Arabidopsis thaliana: one gene and its partners. The protein of the gene in region 1 purifies or fractionates together with the protein of each later gene. This does not show direct contact. Each region holds a gene or a part of one and is shown in the gene's direction. Other genes may lie near its edges. The genes, in order: GAMMA CA1, AT5G40810, AT4G32470 and AAC3.

Region 1 (5,356 bases):
GTATCCCTCAGAAGAAGAGAAAAAACAATTTGATGCAAATCATGAAAATCGCTGGTCATCCACAATAAAATCCGATTACCTTACGACTGCTGACGGTGCGACTATAACTGCCTTCTCCCAGGAACATTCTTGGAAAATCTCACCCAACCCTACATTCACCCGCCCAAGAACATTGTATCGCAGAACGATATGGTTGATTTGTGGGATGTAAAGATCGGTAAGACTCTCGAGTCTCGACAAGACTTATGTTTCTGAGGAAGAACTCCTCAAAACCATCAAAGGTGATCAGTTAAACCATAAAAACAGTTTCTGATATCCAATATTCATCAGTCCAAACTCCAAAGTATTAAACGAGTCACTTGCATTTGCAGAGACCCAGCCTCCAATGGATTTTTTTGTGGGTTTGATCCATACGGTCCTTGCGAAGAGCGACTTTACCTCCTTGACTATAGATCCTTCTTTTGGAGTTAAGACTTCTGAGCTTTATCCTGAGGTCAAGTACACAAGTACTGTCGATGAGTTTCTTAAATAATTTGTCTGAAAAAACCCTTGTCCCTTATGTTACGTGTAGCCAGTGTTTATCCGAGTTTCGATATGGAGGCAAATCTTATTTCAAAATAGGCTTCTTATTTGATTGATACAGTACATTACATAAAAAGGTCCAAGTACATTATTTGACTGATATAAGAGAGAGACCTTGAACAACATTACCACACCAACGATCTCATAACGGTGCATAGTTTCAAGGGTTAACCTTGGGAGCCCATCCAGAGATCACATACTTTTCCTCGGTCTTAGTTTTCTCAAAAGAGTCGAGCGAGAACAGAGTCTTCATGTAGTTATGGACATGGGGAAAGCTCTCAGGGACAGACCAGCTTTTGAAATGGCCAAGAGCAACTTGAAGGTGGTAAAGCTTTGGTGCTAAGCTTAGATCCACTGCGGAAACTCTTTCTCCGGCGATAAAAGGGCCATCGTGACTCTTAAGATGGTTTTCCAAAGCTTCTAGCTCAACAAGCAAGGCATGTTCAGATCCGTCATTGGAGTCTTTGCTCTTCAAGAATGTCCCAAAAGTACCAAAAATGTTGGATCCAACAGAGGCAAATTCAGCAGGAGTCTTGAGTGGTGGATCAGGATACTTCTCCTCGAGTATACCAACGATGACGTCGGAATCAGTCACCCACTTGTCGTCGATCTTAAGCACTGGTACTTTCCCTTGAGGACTAATGTCCAAGAACCTGCATCATATATAAAACCAAAGCCACCAATTTCAAGTTCCGGTTAACACAATGCTCGCACATGAAGCCAATCCAATTTCCGGTTAACACAAAGCTCGTACCAGTTACAAGTAAAATTTCAGAGATTATGGCTAAACAAGTTCAAACTAGACCGATCTTAAGGGTTTAGGCGTGAGAGAAACTGACCACTGGGGTTTGTCAGAGAGGTTAATCAGATGGATTTTGTAGGTAAGACTCTTCTCCTCGAGTGTGAGAAGAGCCCGTTGGCTGAACGGACCTAAAACGACAAACAAACACTTAAATTAGTAAATTTACCAACGATCAAAGCTCAGAAATTAAGAATTGCAAAATCAAAAGCTTAATGCAAAACAAAAACAGAGAGAGAAAGAGAAGATGGTTACAGTCGCCGAGATGATCAGGAGCACCAACAGCAGCTTTCACACAGATTTCCAGAGCCATCTTGATTCTTCTTCCTTTGTTTGCAGAGACGGATGAATGATTGAGTTAATCAGTGAGAAGGCTTAGCTTTTAAACTGAATTATTACCATTCTCCACCCACCAGTGGGCCATTTTTACCCGATGTTTATCTTTTCTCACGTGTTATGCGTTGCAAGTGACGACGATACGAAACGACATTGTTACTGATAGGGCCATTTGATTTTTGGTCGGCAGGTTTTGGACCGTTCAATTTAGTGAAAATATAGTAATAAATTCGTACCGAATAATATAATCGGTTTAATGAAACTACTACCTGAAATATCGAATTAGATTTGGTTCATATTTCGTATTGTTTTGGTTCGATTAAACCATATTAAACCACTGTAACTGTAATTTATTGTTTCGCCGTCCCGGAATGTTCCTGTTGAAATCCATTTTCGCTGATTTTTTTTCTTCCGTCTCTTCTTCAGCTTCGACCATTTTCGTCTTCTTCATTCAGTGTTGAGTCCTCGTTTACCTGTGAGCTCGAAGAAAGTGACGATCAATGGGAACCCTAGGCAGAGCATTTTACTCGGTCGGTTTTTGGATCCGTGAGACTGGTCAAGCTCTTGATCGCCTCGGTTGTCGCCTTCAAGGCAAAAATTACTTCCGAGAACAACGTAAGATTCTGCGTAACTCTATTTTTCACTCCGATTTCGAATTCGTAAAGAGTGAGGAGTTTCGATTGGGTAATTCAGCTCACCTATTCTGGTTAGGTTAGAGATCTGGAATTGATGTCTTTGTAGGTATAGCGATTCTGGATTCGAATGGCACAAGGGATTAATTGATGTGGAATGTGTTTTGCTGCTTAGTTTTTTTTTTGTTTCCTGGTCACGAAATTTGCTTATATGTAATTGTGGTTTTCTCTGTGTAGTGTCAAGGCATCGGACACTGATGAATGTATTTGATAAGGCTCCGATTGTGGACAAGGAAGCTTTTGTGGCACCAAGCGCCTCAGTTATTGGGGACGTTCACATTGGAAGAGGATCGTCCATTTGGTATGGATGCGTATTACGAGGTGAGCTAGCTACTAAGCCTCAATGTTTGGTGTTTGGTGGTTGACTATTTTAGTGACTGAAGTTTTGTTTGAAATAGTATCTACTTCTGTATCCTTAGCTGTGTCAACTCTTACGATAGAAAATAGTGAACGAATATCTGTTTTTTACTCTTCTGGTTAAGCGATGAACAAGACTACTACTCAAAATGGAGCTTTCTAGCTTTATTGAAGGATCTTAAACAGATCATTACTACATATCGTATCTTGATGATACTGGCAGTTGCTCTAATGGGTGATTGGGTATATGATATCCCCAATCATATACAGAATGCTTTCATGTCATAACACCAGAATTAGTTGAACGATATCATATACAGATTATTGAGTTTGAGTTGAATCCTTATTGCGAGTATGAGTTGGCTAGTCTGGATTTTTATTTAATGGTGATGAAATAGGGTTGTCCTTTTTACAGAATGCTTTCATGTCATAACACATTGGTACTGTATGGCTAAGCCTGTTAGTACTTTACCAGGAAACTGGGATAACATACAATCTAAACTTGCTTTCTCTCTTTTTTTCTGCGCAGGCGATGTGAACACCGTAAGTGTTGGGTCAGGAACTAATATTCAGGACAACTCACTTGTGCATGTGGCAAAATCAAACTTAAGCGGGAAGGTGCACCCAACCATAATTGGAGACAATGTAACCATTGGTTAGTGGGAATCTCTTACTCACTGTTTATTTTGAAAATGTTTAATATGCATACATCTCCAAGAAGCATTTGGGATATAGTCTTAAATTAAATGTGTAACAGGTCATAGTGCTGTTTTACATGGATGTACTGTTGAGGATGAGACCTTTATTGGGATGGGTGCGACACTTCTTGATGGGGTCGTTGTTGAAAAGCATGGGATGGTTGCTGCTGGTGCACTTGTACGACAAAACACCAGAATTCCTTCTGGAGAGGTATGATTTTGGGTTTAACATTTCTGATTACCTGAAAACCCACAAGTAACCATTGGTGCGGGTATACTTCTATTGCTACTTAGACAGCATAGGCTATATTATTGACATTATTAGTGTCTTTCTTTCATTGGCTGAAAGTATTGGAGGTTGGTGTGAAATTGAAATACAGTTTCTAGTCTTGAGAATTCTTCTCCTCTATCTGGATAGAACGTATCTTATCCACTTTTCAGATGCCCTAACAGATTATAAATGTTAGTTAGATGAAAGTGGAAATGTTCTTCTAGCTATGGTTTATCTGCATATGAATGCCAAAGGGTGTTAGTCTCTCATCATGGCCTTAAAATTTACTTCATCCGCCATATTGACTGACAGAGTTAAAATGTTCGCATTGGTCTATAATGACTCAGGTATGGGGAGGAAACCCAGCAAGGTTCCTCAGGAAGCTCACTGATGAGGAAATTGCTTTTATCTCTCAGTCAGCAACAAACTACTCAAACCTCGCACAGGCTCACGCTGCAGAGAATGCAAAGCCATTAAATGTGATTGAGTTCGAGAAGGTTCTACGCAAGAAGCATGCTCTAAAGGACGAGGAGTATGACTCAATGCTCGGAATAGTGAGAGAAACTCCACCAGAGCTTAACCTCCCTAACAACATACTGCCTGATAAAGAAACCAAGCGTCCTTCTAATGTGAACTGATTTTTCAGGGGTATGTTTTCTGGCCGAAGCCCTACAGGGTGAGATACTCAAGGGGATTATGTTTCGGTCTCTGGTTTGAATATGGCAGGTAGAGTACATTAGGGTAGACGGATTTACAGCTTTTGAAGAAGCTATGTTCAACATTTTTTCATGGTTTCTTAGGGAGTATTATTGTCTAATCAAACTTTGTATGTTATCACTTCGGTCTTTTGAACGTAAGAATCAAGTTCATGAAACATGAGTGAATATTAGTCTGATGCATGTGCGTATGCAAAAATCCATGTGCGCCTATGTTGCTAGGCAAGCATGAAGAATAAAGATCCAAACTGGATATATCATATATTTATCTTTTTATAATTACTGCAAATTATTAGTGGGGTTGATGGTATTGGTACCGTGAATTACGCTTGCTTGGTCGTCTTTTTATTTTTTTGATAAAATCAAATCTTGTATCGTGTATCTATTATTATGATTCGTCTCCTTCCTTTTGTCAAAGGCCGTTTCTTTTCTTGAGATTTATCTTTTGTTTTCTAGCTTTCTGGCTGTCGTTCTTTTAGGATTCAAGTATTCAACCATTTGTTACAATAATACTAATAATTGGATTTCTCCCTTGTCACTTTGTAGATCTCAACTAATGGGCCATTTTTTCTCTCAATTTGAACCACGAGACATGGTGTTGGAAATTTGAAACGGTAGATTGTGTAAAATGTTCACCAACTTAGACATCGCAAGCCTTATAAAACTTACGGTAAACAGATCAAAAATCCTTACAAACAATGACCAAAGAAACAGTACGATTTTGCAAGCTGACGGAATTTACAAATTGCACTAATCTATATCATAGTTTCATGTAACAACAACAATGTTTTTAGAGTTTATAATAAGAAAAATTTTAATTGATGTAACAAAAAAAAATATGTAGTGTGGGAAACTTTAAAACATATCAGTGAGTTTAGATAAAAATTTGAAAGTTTTAACTACAA
Region 2 (5,397 bases), on another chromosome or scaffold:
AAAAACATACTGAAATACGCTAGAGTGGATTCTTTTCACTTGTCATAAAACCCAATAAAAATCATATTTATTATTTTATTATTATTTAAGTTCGTTTCTTAACATAATACATTACCACTATCTAATACCTCATATAAAATTAGATTTAAAATCCTATAAACACACACTAAATTCTGAAAGAAATAATGTTAGGTTGTTTAATTTCTTTTTTTTGTTTGTCAAATCAGATATATTGATATAAAACAAGGTTACAAAATATATAAACATTATAATACAATTATTATACGCAAATACAAAAATTTGATACAATTTTGATAAAGGAGTGAAAGTAACCCGACATTACAAGCAAATAGGCGTTGGTCATGATACATAAATATTTTTTAATTATAAGAAAATTACTATTATTTTAAAATCACAAATTTTAAACTGTATATTTTCTTAATTAGGCACTGATGAACAATTCGTGATACAATGTGGAAACATGTCTCAAATCGAAACCCTTATTTGATATGTTATTAAGATACCTGCTGGGGAGGTGCCTCATCCCAAAATAAACTAAATTAATTAACATTCATTTAGGTAGAAAAATTACTATAATGACATACTTAATCATATAATTATACTTTTCCTTCATACCACCAATAAAAGCAGATCGCTATCTAGCTCTTAGACAAGATAATAGCATAGCTTTTAATTTTGATAAAGCTGAATGGTCCTTGTAGATAAAGTTAAGAGAAGAATATGTTTTTTTTTTTACAAAGGCTTGTTTTCATTCATTCACATAAAAACAAGTACAAGAAGGAGTGATTCAAAGATCACAAAGTTTAAAACATAATTAAAGGAGGTATTCCCCAAAGCCAAAACATAATAGAGGCATTTCTCTAAGACACGAAAGGAAATGCATAGCATTCAAACCGACTCATATTAAATCATCTCTCATAAATGAAAAACTACTTCCACTTGAGACACTAAAGGACTCACCAATCAACATATTAAGAAAGTTACTGTTTCGTGGCTTGAAAATATGTAGAAAAGCTTCCAGGACGATGTCTCATTCATTAATTTTCTGATGATTCCAAATTCGTTTTCCGAACCACAACTTATGATTGCAAAAACCTAATGATTCGGCTTGAGTTGAGTCATGATGAGAATTTCTCCTGCTTAATTAAAATTCTGTTTTTAGGTATAAGAGATTCTATTCAGCAAAGATATTCAAGATGAGTAACAGATATTAAACATACCATGAACATTCACAAACCTGTGGGAATTAATATATGAACTTACCTAGCAAAAGCGAACATGTAATTTCTCATTTACATTTTCCCGTACTATGTAAAATTGAAACACATTTTCAAGTTTAAGGAAGATTATAATTTTGGAGTCGATGTAGTATCCCGAGAGCATACGAAACATATGTTGTATTTTCAAATTTGCGCCTCTCGATATTGAACTACAATAATGCATGTTAGATTCAAAGCAGCCTCGCTTTGGACCCTATAAAATGAGTTAATGCAAGCCATAATAATTTATCGATCGACATATTTACTAAACAAGCCAGAATGTGATCTCGATCTCAGCCTGTGTTAATCTTTTTGTAATTGAACATTCTGGACTAATGAACTCTTCACTATTGAAAAAAACAACAACACATAGATCATTTACACAAAGTCTCCCTTTACTAAATTTCAAGATTTGGTCCATTTATTCCAATGAGAAATATTCCAGATATTTTTTTTGGCTGTTGACTGTACGGATAGGCCCTTAATGGGCTTTTAATGGATTAAATTAGGCCCATGATACTTGAAAAATCTGAAAGGTGTTGTTGTGTTGTGTGTGACAGTCCAGTCGCGTCATCCGGAGACATCCATTTTCTCTGGTAGCTGTTTACTTCTTCTTCTTCTTCTTCTTCTTCTTCCTCCTCCTCTGTTCGTCAATCGCCGATCTCGTTGCTTCATTTTCCTGTGAGTATTTTCTCGATTCGACACATCTCATATCCGAATCTGCCATTTCTTCATTCAATTTTGTTTATTTGTTGGAACTTCGGATCTATATAGAGAATCGAGTTTTCTAGGGCTTACTCATTGTTTCGGGTATATGTAATGGCTGAGAATCTTCTCTGTTTGTATCAGTGAGATCGATTGGTACAAGTGTTCATCCAATGGTTGGAGGAGGAGTTATCCGGCAGCTTCTTAGAAGGAAACTTCATTCCCAATCAGTCGTGAGCTTTTTCCCTGTTACATCTTTTTGATTTTCTGCTGTAGCTTAGGATCTGTTTGAAGATAGAATCATATGATTTGTTTTGGTTCTGTCTACACCTTCATTGCTCTGAGAGATTGTCCTTGAAGAATTGTAACTGGAATTGTTGTGGCGTTGGAGATTTTGGGATATAAGAAACTTAGACTTATTGATTTGTGCTTCGAGAGTATGATTAATATTCGATTTCTTTTCAGAAAAAGTAGTCTTTTGATTTGTTGAGCATACACCTTCTTGTGTCTTGGCCTTTTTTTTTGTTTTCTTACTGTTGTTCTGTATTATCTACCACCATAGGCAACTCCGGTATTGTCATGGTTGTCTTCGAAGAAAGCGAATGAAGATGCTGGGTCTGCTGGTTTAAGAGCATTTGCTCTCATGGGTGCTGGTATTACCGGATTATTGAGTTTTTCTACTGTTGCATCTGCTGATGAGGCTGAACATGGTCTGGAGTGTCCTAACTACCCTTGGCCACATGAGGGCATTCTCAGCTCATATGACCATGCTTCGTGAGTGTTCAAGCTACAATTCAATCATCATAGTGAAATTGCAACACTAAAGTTGAAAATTAGAGAAATTTGAGACTGCTTTACTGACGGTTGATTTGTAATGAGCAGGATCCGTCGTGGTCACCAAGTTTATCAGCAAGTTTGTGCGTCTTGCCATTCGATGTCTCTGATCTCATACCGAGACTTGGTGGGTGTTGCCTACACAGAGGAAGAGGCGAAGGCCATGGCAGCTGAAATCGAGGTTGTTGATGGACCAAATGATGAGGGTGAGATGTTCACCCGACCTGGTAAACTCAGTGATCGGCTTCCTGAACCATACTCAAATGAATCGGCTGCTAGGTTCGCCAATGGAGGAGCGTATCCACCGGATCTAAGTCTTGTAACTAAGGTTTGGTGCTCTTTCTCTCCATTTGTATACAATTAGAAAATTCATCTACTATGATCTAAGCAATTTGGCTATTTTCTTCCAGGCACGTCACAATGGCCAAAATTATGTCTTTGCTCTGTTGACTGGTTATCGTGATCCTCCTGCTGGAATTTCGGTAAATTTCTCTCCTATTTTTGCTTTAGACTTGTTATTACAACTTCAAATTGTTGGAAGTTAGAAATAATCCTGTGACTAACGGGTACAGATCAGAGAGGGGCTACACTACAATCCTTATTTCCCTGGTGGAGCAATCGCTATGCCAAAAATGCTCAACGATGAAGCTGTGGAATATGAAGATGGAACTCCTGCAACAGAAGCACAGGTTAGTTTTCCTCTGCTTAAGAAAATAATTTGCAGACCATAAAGTTTTATCAGATTTGACCTTTCCTCTGAGTCAATTATATAATCTTTAATTTTTCTTTTTTTAAAAAACATGATGCAGATGGGTAAAGATGTTGTATCCTTCTTGTCCTGGGCAGCTGAACCAGAGATGGAAGAGAGGAAATTGGTAAGTTTCTTAGTTTCATATATTCCATGTTTTAAGCTGTCGTTTCCATATGTACGAGATTGCAATAGGAATATCAATCTGGATTCTGATTATTTGATTTTCAGATTCAGTTTGAGAAAATTGTTACCAAACTTAAACCGGCATAGTATAGATTGGTTTTGGATGTAGAAAAAGTATCGCCATTTTATCCGTGTTAAGATTTCCTTGGTTCTGTCTTCTGTATAGCGGGATGAACACACCTAGTTGCATAGTTGTGTTGAACACACCTAGTTGCATAGTTGTGTTGACCACACTACTGCTTGTTTCTTGAGGCTGCTAATCTCAGACCAAAACTATTATCAAACATGAACCGTATTGTTACTCTGTATTCAAAACCGTCATGTTGGTTCTAAACCGACCCAAAAAAACCCGCTATACCGAGAATCCAACTCTTTGTGCTTAGATATCTGTTAACGTTGGTTGTATGTGTGTGCAGATGGGGTTCAAATGGATATTCTTACTGTCTTTGGCTCTGCTTCAAGCTGCGTATTACAGGAGACTGAAATGGTCAGTACTCAAATCCCGTAAGCTTGTTCTCGACGTTGTTAACTAATCCCGTGAAGATCACCTTTTCTCTGGGTAATAATCATTAATCTTGAAAGGGATAAATGGTGAATCCCACTTTTTGTCTCAAAAGACATGTTTCTTTGTTTATTGTTTAGAAAGTCTAATGAGGCAAAGAAGTAAAGCTTTTTTAACCTCAAGTCACACATGATTTTGAGATTATATTATTTCTTTTTGGTTTGTTGTCTCCTAAACCGGACTCGGTTTGTCTTAATAAAAATGTGGTTTTACAATCTCTCTCCTATTTGTATATCACAAAACATGATTTTGTAACTATTAAAGTTAAAAAGTTAAAATCTGTGGTCTATTTCTGATAGACCAAAACTCCACAGAACAACCAATTTACCTCTGTTGCGAACTCGATTTTGTAAAACTTAGAAAAATGTAGGCAGGATTTAGACCCGTTAATGTAAAACCAGTTCCGTTAAGACATTACCAAACAAAATTGCACAATCCTACAGACAATGAAACAAACATGCAGGATCGGACAAAACCTCAAAATACAAGTCCACACTTTTAATTGTCCCTTGGAATCAATATTTATAAAAATGTAATGAGCTCAAATTTTTATAACCTATGAAAAGATCAAAATCTTGATTAAAAAGAAGAAAAAAACCAATCAAATCCTGGCAGGCTTCTGCAGAACAGCCGAGAGAAAAACCTCAGCATCAGTTTTCTCTCCAACAACCCATTTCAACTTCTTATACCCAAACCTCTCTATCAAACGCGTAAGAACTCTCTTCTTCTCATCATTACCGCAATAGAAATTGTCTAACTAGAACAATCCACCGGGTTTCAAGATCCGATCAAGATCAAACATCAAGAACTCTAGCTTCTCGGGTTTACTACTAACCGCTAAATCCAATCCGTTAGAAGCATGAATGAGATCAAAAACATTGTCATAGAACGGGAATCTCTAATCCAAACTCCCTCTGAACAACGGAAAAATCCCTCTTGTAGCTATGAATTCGCTGAAAGGAGCATCTATATTTAATGTAATACCGATAATATTCAGATTCTTTTCAGCCATTCTAGCAGCAAACGTGCCTGATCCGCTGCTAATATCGAATCCGATTCGGATTTTCCCATCGCCTAAACCC
Region 3 (4,562 bases), on another chromosome or scaffold:
TTTATGTAGTTTTTAAACATTTAGTTCTTGAATTTAAGAGCTTTATTCAGGAAGAAGAGTGGGATAAGAAGGAATCAATATGGAATACTTTTTTTTCATAAATTCGTTTGTCTCCCAGCATTTAGACTGATGGGATATTCCCATCCTAAAAATAAGAATCTAAAACATTGTATCCTAAATATCTATCTGTAGACACTTTATTGTGTTTTTATAAAGCAACAATAATCAAATCAAAGTTCACAATCAATCTAATGTCCAAGCAAAAACAATTAAAGTGCTACTAAAGTTCCATTTCTTAATGATCTACAAAGTGTTGTTTATCTAATAAATTAAGGCAATTTGCATTCATCATATAAATTAAATACAACTTTTCAGTGTAATATATATGGACCTCACTATCAAACACTTATGAAATATTGGAATGTTGTGTAAAAGTGTAAAAATCAAATCTTAAATAAAGATAACTACTATCAATATGACAACAATTTGTGACAGTACAAAATTTAAACTAAACTATAATTTCCATTTTAAAAAAAAAATTGAGACGGCCAAAAAGGGCCAATTAAAAAGAAGGCAAACGTGATATTAATTAGTTACTGAATAATTAACTGCCATTGAGGCCAAAACCATGTGCTATGAAAGCTGTTTATCAGCGAATTATAACATTTTGTGTAAAAGAAAGACCAAGTCTACACAATTTTTAAAACATTTCAGTCCAGTAAAGTTAATCATCAGTTCATCACTCCAAATTTTATAACTTATATACGCATTTGCTTGAATAATTCTGCCATACAATATAATTTTATGTGATTTGATAAATATATATCTAATTAAATTAACGTGAGCTTAGCAGAGAGAGTATTATGTGCTAAGCTAAAACCGGTTTATACTGTTCAAAACATCAAATATTGAGACAAGCTCATATAGTCACTATACATGCCCACATGCATTAACCACTCAGTCAGACGAGTTATATATGGTTGTCTTTTGAAACAAACAAAACAAACTTTTACAATTCATAGTTGTGCGTTATTATCGGAACACAATTATTTGGAAAACAAAAATTATGAACTCATGAAGCTAAATGGGACTGAACTTTAGGCCTACTTCATATTTTACGATAAGGATGATGACGACGACTTCGTGGCTAAAAAATAGCAATTAGGATATGGGTCGTGATCAAAAATCCCACCAAACTAAAAATATATCAAACTAAATCAAGTACCTACTACATGCATGATTATCTCTTTAACCTAACCTTAATTAAAGTTAGTTTAGATATTGACAAGAAACTGTTTAAAATGCTTTGCTAAGAAAGTGGGAACACAAGATTTGAGAGTATTTTTGTTAAAGTCACAACATTTTAACCTTAAATTACACTTGCAACTTGAGACGATACTTAATCACTTTTTAAGTTAATTTAATCATAAGCAGACAAAAACATGCCTTTCAACTCTCAAGTAGTGGTGTTAGCCGGAATCCAATTCGTCTAGAGTAAAGAATGAAGATACAATTATAATTGTTTAACTTACCTCATCTATATAACAAGATTATCATTTCTCATTCCAGCTATTAAATTAAACCCTCTTTTTTCACAACTGGTATATCAATTTTGTGATTAATCTAGTTACCATTCATACAACTAGCTTTGCCTATACATAACATTCACATGAGTTTAGTGGATTTTACAACTTAAATTTCCCCCATTTTTTTTTTTTAAGTAGGATCGAATAAGAGTTAAATGCATGTATTTGTGAAACACGAAACAAAAGGGTCACTAAAAATTTGCACCAGCCGGGAATCGAACCCGGGTCTGTACCGTGGCAGGGTACTATTCTACCACTAGACCACTGGTGCTTCTTGTGAATTATTAAGACAAGTTAGTTTATAATCTAAATACAAGTTATCACTGGGCCTTAAATGACGCTACAGCTGAGCGACTTAAGGCCCAAATATTACTACGTGAGTACGTGACCTATATATGTCAAAAATACGTGAAGCTTAGATGGGCCACTTAAGGCCCAAATAAATACGTGAAGCAGAGCTTATGTGATTATTTCCTCTCTCAGGTCAGGAGTTGTTGTAGACACAGCAGCTTGGTCTCTTTCATTGGCACAAAGAGAGAAAATCTGAAATTGAGAGAGACAGAGAAAAATGGCGTCGCTTCTGAAAGCATTCATCGATCCAAAGAAGAACTTCCTCGCTCGTATGCATATGAAAGCCATATCTACTCGCCTTCGCAGATACGGTCAGATCTCTCTCGATCCATAACCCTAATTTCTGAAATCCGAGTTTGTTGTCAATGTTCATGAGTGAATCTGAATCTGCTTTGTTTTGTTTGGTTTGAATGATTAATTAGGTCTGAGGTACGATGATCTGTACGATCAGTATTACAGTATGGACATCAAAGAGGCTATGAACAGATTGCCCAGGGAGGTCGTTGATGCTCGTAACCAGCGTCTCAAGCGTGCCATGGACCTCTCCATGAAGCACGAGTACCTCCCCAAGGATCTTCAGGTATAATTCTTCATTCTCTATTTCTTTGGATGAAATTGATGTTGTTAGAATCAATCTAGAATATGGATAGGTAACCCAGGCATTTGAGCTCGAATATTGATTAAATGCTAGAAAAATGAAGAAATTAAGATATCAAATTGAAATCGAAACTAGTTCATCAGAAGATATTACTTTACTTTGGGGATTTTGTGATTGTGGAGCTTAGATGTATATAAACTAGTTTATGCATAGTCTATGCTTGTCTCTTGCGTTACTGTGTTTGTTCTGCTGTTGCTTGAGATTATTGGAAATTTTGGATTGATGAAAGGTTGAATCCTTGTTACATCTTTTTTTTTCCCTTTCAATAAAGTAAAGTGGTGTTTGCATGTATACTATTGTATTACTCTATGGTTTAGACTTTTCGATTTTTGTTACTTTCTTATTTGATGTTGTTATTAGATAAGAATGTAACTGTTATTATTGCTGGCTTAATTAAGCTATCAAAAGTTCACAACTTTAAAAGTATAAGGCTCTTTTAGTTTTCCAAAATTGATTAAGCTATCAGAAATTGCAACTGTTAGGTAGTGTTGTGGATATTGTAACTTTCTTATTTGATGTGGTTATTTCATATACAGGCGGTGCAGACCCCATTCCGTGGCTATCTTCAGGACATGCTTGCTCTTGTAAGTCTCCTTTTTGATGAACTAACATAGAAATCATTATCTGCGTCTAGGGTAGGAACAATCAAACTGCAATTCAGTGTCATAAAAGCGTACTATTCCTTCTTGAAGTAAAGTTTCCTCTTTCTTTTGGGCCTATCTGCTTCCCTGCATTGACAATGATGAAAACTTTGATGAGATGCATGTCTTTTCCTTCGTTATTTGAAGCAATATGTTTTTTTCAGATCTTCAATTTCCCTATTTCATGAAGTATTGCATCATAAAGAAAATGTTTGCAATGTTTGAAAAGTTCTGAGTGTAACTTTTCTGTAAGGATAGCCCATCATCGTTGTCATCATCCCTGTCTTTATGTTGTGATTTGCAGGTTGAGAGGGAAAGCAAGGAACGAGAGGCCTTGGGAGCTCTACCACTATACCAGCGCACACTCCCATAAGCATTCCTTTCCCCTTTTCTTGTGGTCAACGCTGCTTCTCTGCATAAATCTGCAACATTGATATTTTGGTGCTCACTTTCTGAACAGAGCTATTTACTATTTGAAAAAGCATAAATCTGTGATAGTTTTCCTAAGTGGATATGTTGCTAGTTACATTTTTATCGCTTTTGCTGGCTTGAATAAAATCGACGACGCAACTCAAGTCTGTCTCGATGATTTATCATTTTCGAGGTCTGGTTTGCTCTTTTATTCTTATAATTGGTCTCTCAGAATCGTTTAAGTTTTATGCATTGAAATGTAGAAGTGCCATGATTCCATATTCTTGGGAATTTGGTCGAGCCATGTTGATGTATCCTTTGCATTGACAGTTTCATGTGAGAAATTAATGGGAGAGAATTATGAGTTTATTAGGCACCGATAAAGCCAGTCGTTGAACTGTCCAAGTCTATGGTATGGGACTATGGGTGTGTGTTTTCTTTTTGTCTCTTAGTTCACTGAGTTAAAAAGATAGGAAGGAATCATCCGTACTATTATTATATGATCGGCCTTGGCAACCGAAAATTCTTACGTTGAGTTCAAACATAATCGACGAATACACAAAAAATCTACTTGTGGAGGAGATAAACCGGCAAGTGTAAGAAGATGGAAAGAGATCCTTTGGGCATATCGGGGAAATGAAACTTGGATTTCAAAAACTAACTTATTATAACTTATCGGACAGGGTGTAAAATCATTCATTCATAAGATAGAGAGACCCATGTTATGTATATAAATATTTCATATCCAGAAAAGAGCATTTGCATGTGAGTGTGTAGACTGAAACTCAAGCCTTTAATAGATTCAGGCCAGATCTATTCTTTTAGTTACCCATCTTCCTCTCTGTCCCCTCTCTCTCTCATCCTTTTCTTTTGCTCACTTTCGTTTAGCCAACCACAAATGTTAGAAATATGGAT
Region 4 (4,477 bases), on another chromosome or scaffold:
TGTATTATAGCTGATCGATTGAAATAATCGTGGCTTTGAAAGTGTTGGATCTACTCTGCTGAAGTCACTGGATGTATTTAATTAGGTTGTTGCCATTTACTCATCTGTTAAAAAACAAAATTTTAAACCACGTTCCTCTTTGTAAAAAGCTAAAAGCCTCGTTATGTTATCCGTTTGGCTATGTAATTATAAGTGTAGAAATGTCACGAGAGCCAGAAGTTTTGTCCTTAAGTTTTGATTCTTAATGGACAATTTTGGCATTTTTTGCTTCCCGTAATAATGGTTATTGTAAAAACTAAGAAATAGAAGAGAAGCCATATCTGATGAATATACATATATATAATCGCTTACAGAAAATTCTTCGTACTTTTGTAACACTAGTCACTATTACATCTACAATAAACTCGATTATATATCATTTGTAACTATATAGAACTGTTACAAGGCTTCCCTTCCCAATATTCATAGATATATATCCTGGTAGTTAATTTAATTTCTCAACGTCGGGATTCTTGGTGTTTCTGAACCTGTAATGACAAAATTATACCAGTTCATTAGTTCCTTTATGCACAAGGAAAAATGTAATATATAACATTTTCTTCTAGGAAAAGATTTTTAAAAAACTATGGAGAGAAGAATGAAAATAACTGAGAACAGTCCATATCAACGGAGATGGGAAAGCTGAGAGTAAGAGAACAACGGAGAGGAAGGTTATTAATAGCGGCGGGAAGAAAAGGAAGATGATTTGCATTTCCCATTATCTCAATGCACAGACACACTCTCTCTGTTTCTCCACTATCCTGCCTATTCCTCGATCCCTGCGTAGTTAATATAATTATAGATGGTGAAAGAAGAAACCGAAATAGAAGAATCGAGAATTAAGTCTAGTAACTGGAGACGTAAACTTGACGACGTTGTTCAAGTGGGTCACGCCTCTGCAGCAATCTGGAGAAGGTTGTTGAAATATTCCCTCGACGAAGCCCATGCAGGGCATGAAACTCACGAACACGTCTCTGCAATGTTCCAGCGGATTATTGTCCTGGGAAACGGCGGTCTTCATCAGGACCAAGAACGCTACTACCAATATGGCATGTATCTTCATTGAACTCAGTACACTAGCTAGCGAAGGTGATATATATGATTCGTGTACGAAGAGAAATCTATATCTATATATTATATATATAGTAATCAATTCGTTTCTAAGGTGGAGTTTATTATGCATGGCTTAGTTTAATGAACACATGTAGTTCTCATGTTTCCTTCTTACTCGGATGAATTCCAGCTGAGTTCTCTTTTAGTTTTCTTGAATCTTTTGAAATAATCTACCTACACATATTAAGGTTATTGCATGTAATTCGAGTTTATTTTATATCGCATGACATGTATGATGTGTCTTGTTATCTAATACATGAGCCGATATCATTGCCTATATTCTGGTACTCTCAATACGTATCGGTTTGTTTCATTGTTTGTAGAACATTTCTCTAACTAGTTTTGGATCACTAAATTCGAACCACATCACCTTCCTTGCATCTGTAAAGTTCTGTCCGGCTGAAGAAGAAAAAAAAGATTCAACTTTCTTTCTTGCTTCTTAAGTAACATCCAATTTTTTAAGACCTAGTTAACAAGCCTCTATTATATTTTTCCGGCAAACCAAAAAAGTCTTGATTATTGTTCTATTTTTCTATATTTAATTTTCAGGTAGATGAGACATATATCACATAATGATAAAGAGGTCTCTCACTTTCATTAGGTATGAATTTTATCTTCCTAGGAAAATAAATTTTGGGTCCATTTAGAAGAAGTCAAGACTCGGGTCCCTTAAAATTGGGCCCAGAAAGAAACGGGTCAAAGGAGTCCAGTAGCATTTTCGTAATTGTACCTTCTCTTCTGCTCAGTTTCGTCTTTTAGTTTAGGACCAGAAGTCGAGAATCATGTAGAAACCTACTCTTCTCGCAATTTTCCACAGCTCTCTCTCTCTCTCTCGTTAACGCTTCGGCGAAAAATCCACGGTAAGCTCTCGACTCCAGAAGTTCTAGCTTTATCATTAATGCTTCTCTCCTAGCTCTCTCTGTTTTTTTGTTCTGCTTCTCGTGAATTCTGTTTTCTCGACGCCACTCGTTGCTTGATCTTTTAGAAACAGAGGATTTAATTGAGCTGCTGCAACTAGGTTTTAATTTGTGCTAATTAGGTCGCATTATAGTTGACAGATTGAAATGGTGTCTTTAACGAAGCTAACTAGGATCGTATGAAATGTGTTGATGATGTCTTCTCTGTTTTTGTTCCAGTTTTGGTTATGATCATTCTTTTTTAAGCATGCAAATATAGAAATTTTCGAGAAAGCAAGATTTTGTGGTGTTTAATTTGTATTTTTGTTTTGTTTTGTTTTGTTTTGTTTTTCAGAGTCAGCTTTTACTGATTTGTACAAAAAATGGATGGATCAAAGCATCCATCAGTCTTTCAGAAGCTACATGGACAATCTTACTTGATCAATAGACTTTCTCCGAGTGTGCAAGCTCGTGGTTACTGTGTCTCTGGTGCTTATGTCAATGGAGGTTTGCAGAGTCTATTGCAGCCAACTAGCCATGGCGTTGGCTCGTCTCTTATACCTCATGGTTCATTTCCTGTATTAGCTCACGCTCCTAGTGAGAAAACTGGTACTGGTTTCTTGATCGATTTCCTTATGGGAGGAGTCTCAGCTGCTGTTTCGAAGACGGCAGCCGCGCCTATAGAGCGTGTGAAGCTCTTGATTCAGAATCAAGATGAAATGATCAAAGCTGGGCGTCTCTCTGAGCCATATAAAGGAATCAGTGATTGTTTTGCTCGAACAGTCAAAGACGAAGGAATGCTTGCTCTTTGGAGAGGAAACACTGCCAATGTTATCAGATACTTCCCCACTCAGGTTTGTTTTCTCTTCTTTGACGTGGTATTTGTATAGACGTCGAGATGGGTATGCTAAGCAAATAGTTTTGTTTTGCAGGCTTTAAACTTTGCGTTCAAAGATTACTTCAAGAGGCTGTTTAACTTCAAGAAAGAAAAAGATGGCTACTGGAAGTGGTTTGCAGGGAACCTGGCGTCTGGTGGTGCAGCTGGTGCATCATCTCTGCTTTTTGTGTACTCTTTGGATTACGCTCGTACCCGTTTAGCCAATGATGCGAAGGCGGCCAAGAAAGGTGGTCAGCGGCAGTTTAATGGCATGGTCGACGTGTACAAGAAGACTATAGCCTCTGATGGCATTGTCGGGCTTTACCGTGGTTTCAACATCTCATGCGTTGGAATTGTCGTGTACCGGGGGCTTTACTTTGGATTGTATGATTCCTTGAAGCCTGTGGTTCTAGTTGATGGTCTCCAGGTAAAAAACAAAGAAAACTCCTCACTTCAACATATTGAGTCCTCTGTTACTGTTTACTCATTGCTATAATCTGTACAGGATAGCTTCCTTGCTAGTTTCTTACTGGGATGGGGAATCACCATTGGAGCTGGATTGGCGTCTTACCCAATTGACACGGTTCGCAGAAGAATGATGATGACGTCAGGTGAAGCAGTGAAGTACAAGAGCTCTCTTCAGGCCTTCTCTCAGATCGTCAAGAACGAAGGGGCCAAGTCACTCTTCAAGGGTGCAGGTGCCAACATCCTTCGTGCGGTTGCAGGCGCTGGTGTACTGGCCGGCTATGACAAGCTCCAGCTCATTGTGTTGGGTAAGAAGTATGGCTCTGGTGGTGGCTAAACGATGAGGATGATGAAAGAATAGCCCTTGAGGTCTGTGAATGAATAAAGCAGTGTGTCCGTTCGTATAAATGTTGCTTTTAGAATATAGAGTGTCTCTGTCAAGTTGTGGCCCTTTGTCTTAGTTCTATACTTCTATGACTTTTGTTGACAAAAGAATAAATACAAAGAAAACCAATACCATGTTTATGTTTTTTGTAGTTAAAACAGTTTTAGTGAATATTATCAGTTAAAAAGTCAACATAAGCTGAGAGATCAAAAGAACTTTAAATGTATGGTTATGCGAAAGTTTGTATAATTCAGATTCGGTTTCCTTGGGTTGTAAGCGAATGAGTGATCTAAGTCCAACACTAAGATTTGGTCTTCAAATGTGTCAGTCTCAAATCCCACTTCAAACCACTCCAGACAGCTACAAGTAAGGAGTTAAGTCCTTTTCCTTGATCTTATACCACTACCTGATTCATCCTCTGTAATCGTTGCACCAAAGACCAAACTTATTGTCTTTATATATAAATCCACCACACTTAAGACAAAGGATCCATAACTTGTCTTTGAATGGCTCTCTCTATAACATTTCCTGTCCTTATCTCAGTTCTTCTTTATCATTTCTCTTTAGTATCAACAGCAAAACATAGCCTTCACCACCACACAAGTCACTCCACAAACCCTAAACAGCATCTTCAGCAAGCGTACCGTGCACTTAAAGCATGGAAGAAGGTAATCTATTCTGATCCAAAGAACTTAACTGCAG

Evidence for each region.
Region 2: the proteins of GAMMA CA1 (region 1) and AT5G40810 fractionate together in Arabidopsis thaliana (co-fractionation; one large-scale study listed by BioGRID). This does not show direct contact.
Region 3: the proteins of GAMMA CA1 (region 1) and AT4G32470 fractionate together in Arabidopsis thaliana (co-fractionation; one large-scale study listed by BioGRID). This does not show direct contact.
Region 4: the proteins of GAMMA CA1 (region 1) and AAC3 fractionate together in Arabidopsis thaliana (co-fractionation; one large-scale study listed by BioGRID). This does not show direct contact.

What each region holds. Positions count from the first base shown.
Region 1 is NC_003070.9:6,772,720-6,778,075, forward strand, and holds GAMMA CA1 (gamma carbonic anhydrase 1), read left to right. Parts: upstream 1-1,963; 5' UTR 1,964-2,217; coding exon 2,218-2,332; intron 2,333-2,586; coding exon 2,587-2,730; intron 2,731-3,295; coding exon 3,296-3,421; intron 3,422-3,523; coding exon 3,524-3,675; intron 3,676-3,844; coding exon of another isoform or gene 3,845-3,926; intron 3,927-4,082; coding exon 4,083-4,373; 3' UTR 4,374-4,849; downstream 4,850-5,356. Other genes in the region: AT1G19565 (uncharacterized protein), read right to left, coding at 160-251, 360-412; DHAR1 (dehydroascorbate reductase), read right to left, coding at 743-1,235, 1,422-1,512, 1,637-1,694. UniProt on the Arabidopsis thaliana protein: Enzyme involved in the catabolism of H(2)CO(3) but that does not mediates the reversible hydration of carbon dioxide. Mediates complex I assembly in mitochondria and respiration.
Region 2 is NC_003076.8:16,338,042-16,343,438, forward strand, and holds AT5G40810 (Cytochrome C1 family), read left to right. Parts: upstream 1-1,821; 5' UTR 1,822-1,961; intron 1,962-2,129; 5' UTR 2,130-2,158; coding exon 2,159-2,218; exon of another isoform or gene 2,219-2,547; coding exon 2,548-2,759; intron 2,760-2,867; coding exon 2,868-3,147; intron 3,148-3,229; coding exon 3,230-3,301; intron 3,302-3,391; coding exon 3,392-3,508; intron 3,509-3,628; coding exon 3,629-3,694; intron 3,695-4,169; coding exon 4,170-4,286; 3' UTR 4,287-4,886; downstream 4,887-5,397. UniProt on the Arabidopsis thaliana protein: Component of the ubiquinol-cytochrome c oxidoreductase, a multisubunit transmembrane complex that is part of the mitochondrial electron transport chain which drives oxidative phosphorylation.
Region 3 is NC_003075.7:15,668,688-15,673,249, reverse strand, and holds AT4G32470 (Cytochrome bd ubiquinol oxidase, 14kDa subunit), read left to right. Parts: upstream 1-2,000; 5' UTR 2,001-2,154; coding exon 2,155-2,248; intron 2,249-2,359; coding exon 2,360-2,517; intron 2,518-3,131; coding exon 3,132-3,179; intron 3,180-3,229; coding exon of another isoform or gene 3,230-3,230; intron 3,231-3,540; coding exon 3,541-3,609; 3' UTR 3,610-4,031; downstream 4,032-4,562. UniProt on the Arabidopsis thaliana protein: Component of the ubiquinol-cytochrome c oxidoreductase, a multisubunit transmembrane complex that is part of the mitochondrial electron transport chain which drives oxidative phosphorylation.
Region 4 is NC_003075.7:14,040,736-14,045,212, reverse strand, and holds AAC3 (ADP/ATP carrier 3), read left to right. Parts: upstream 1-1,865; 5' UTR 1,866-2,012; intron 2,013-2,028; exon of another isoform or gene 2,029-2,170; intron 2,171-2,403; 5' UTR 2,404-2,431; coding exon 2,432-2,902; intron 2,903-2,980; coding exon 2,981-3,352; intron 3,353-3,430; coding exon 3,431-3,727; 3' UTR 3,728-3,925; downstream 3,926-4,477. Other genes in the region: A7 (Bifunctional inhibitor/lipid-transfer protein/seed storage 2S albumin superfamily protein), read right to left, coding at 485-527, 649-818, 893-1,222; AT4G28380 (Leucine-rich repeat (LRR) family protein), read left to right, coding at 4,282-4,477.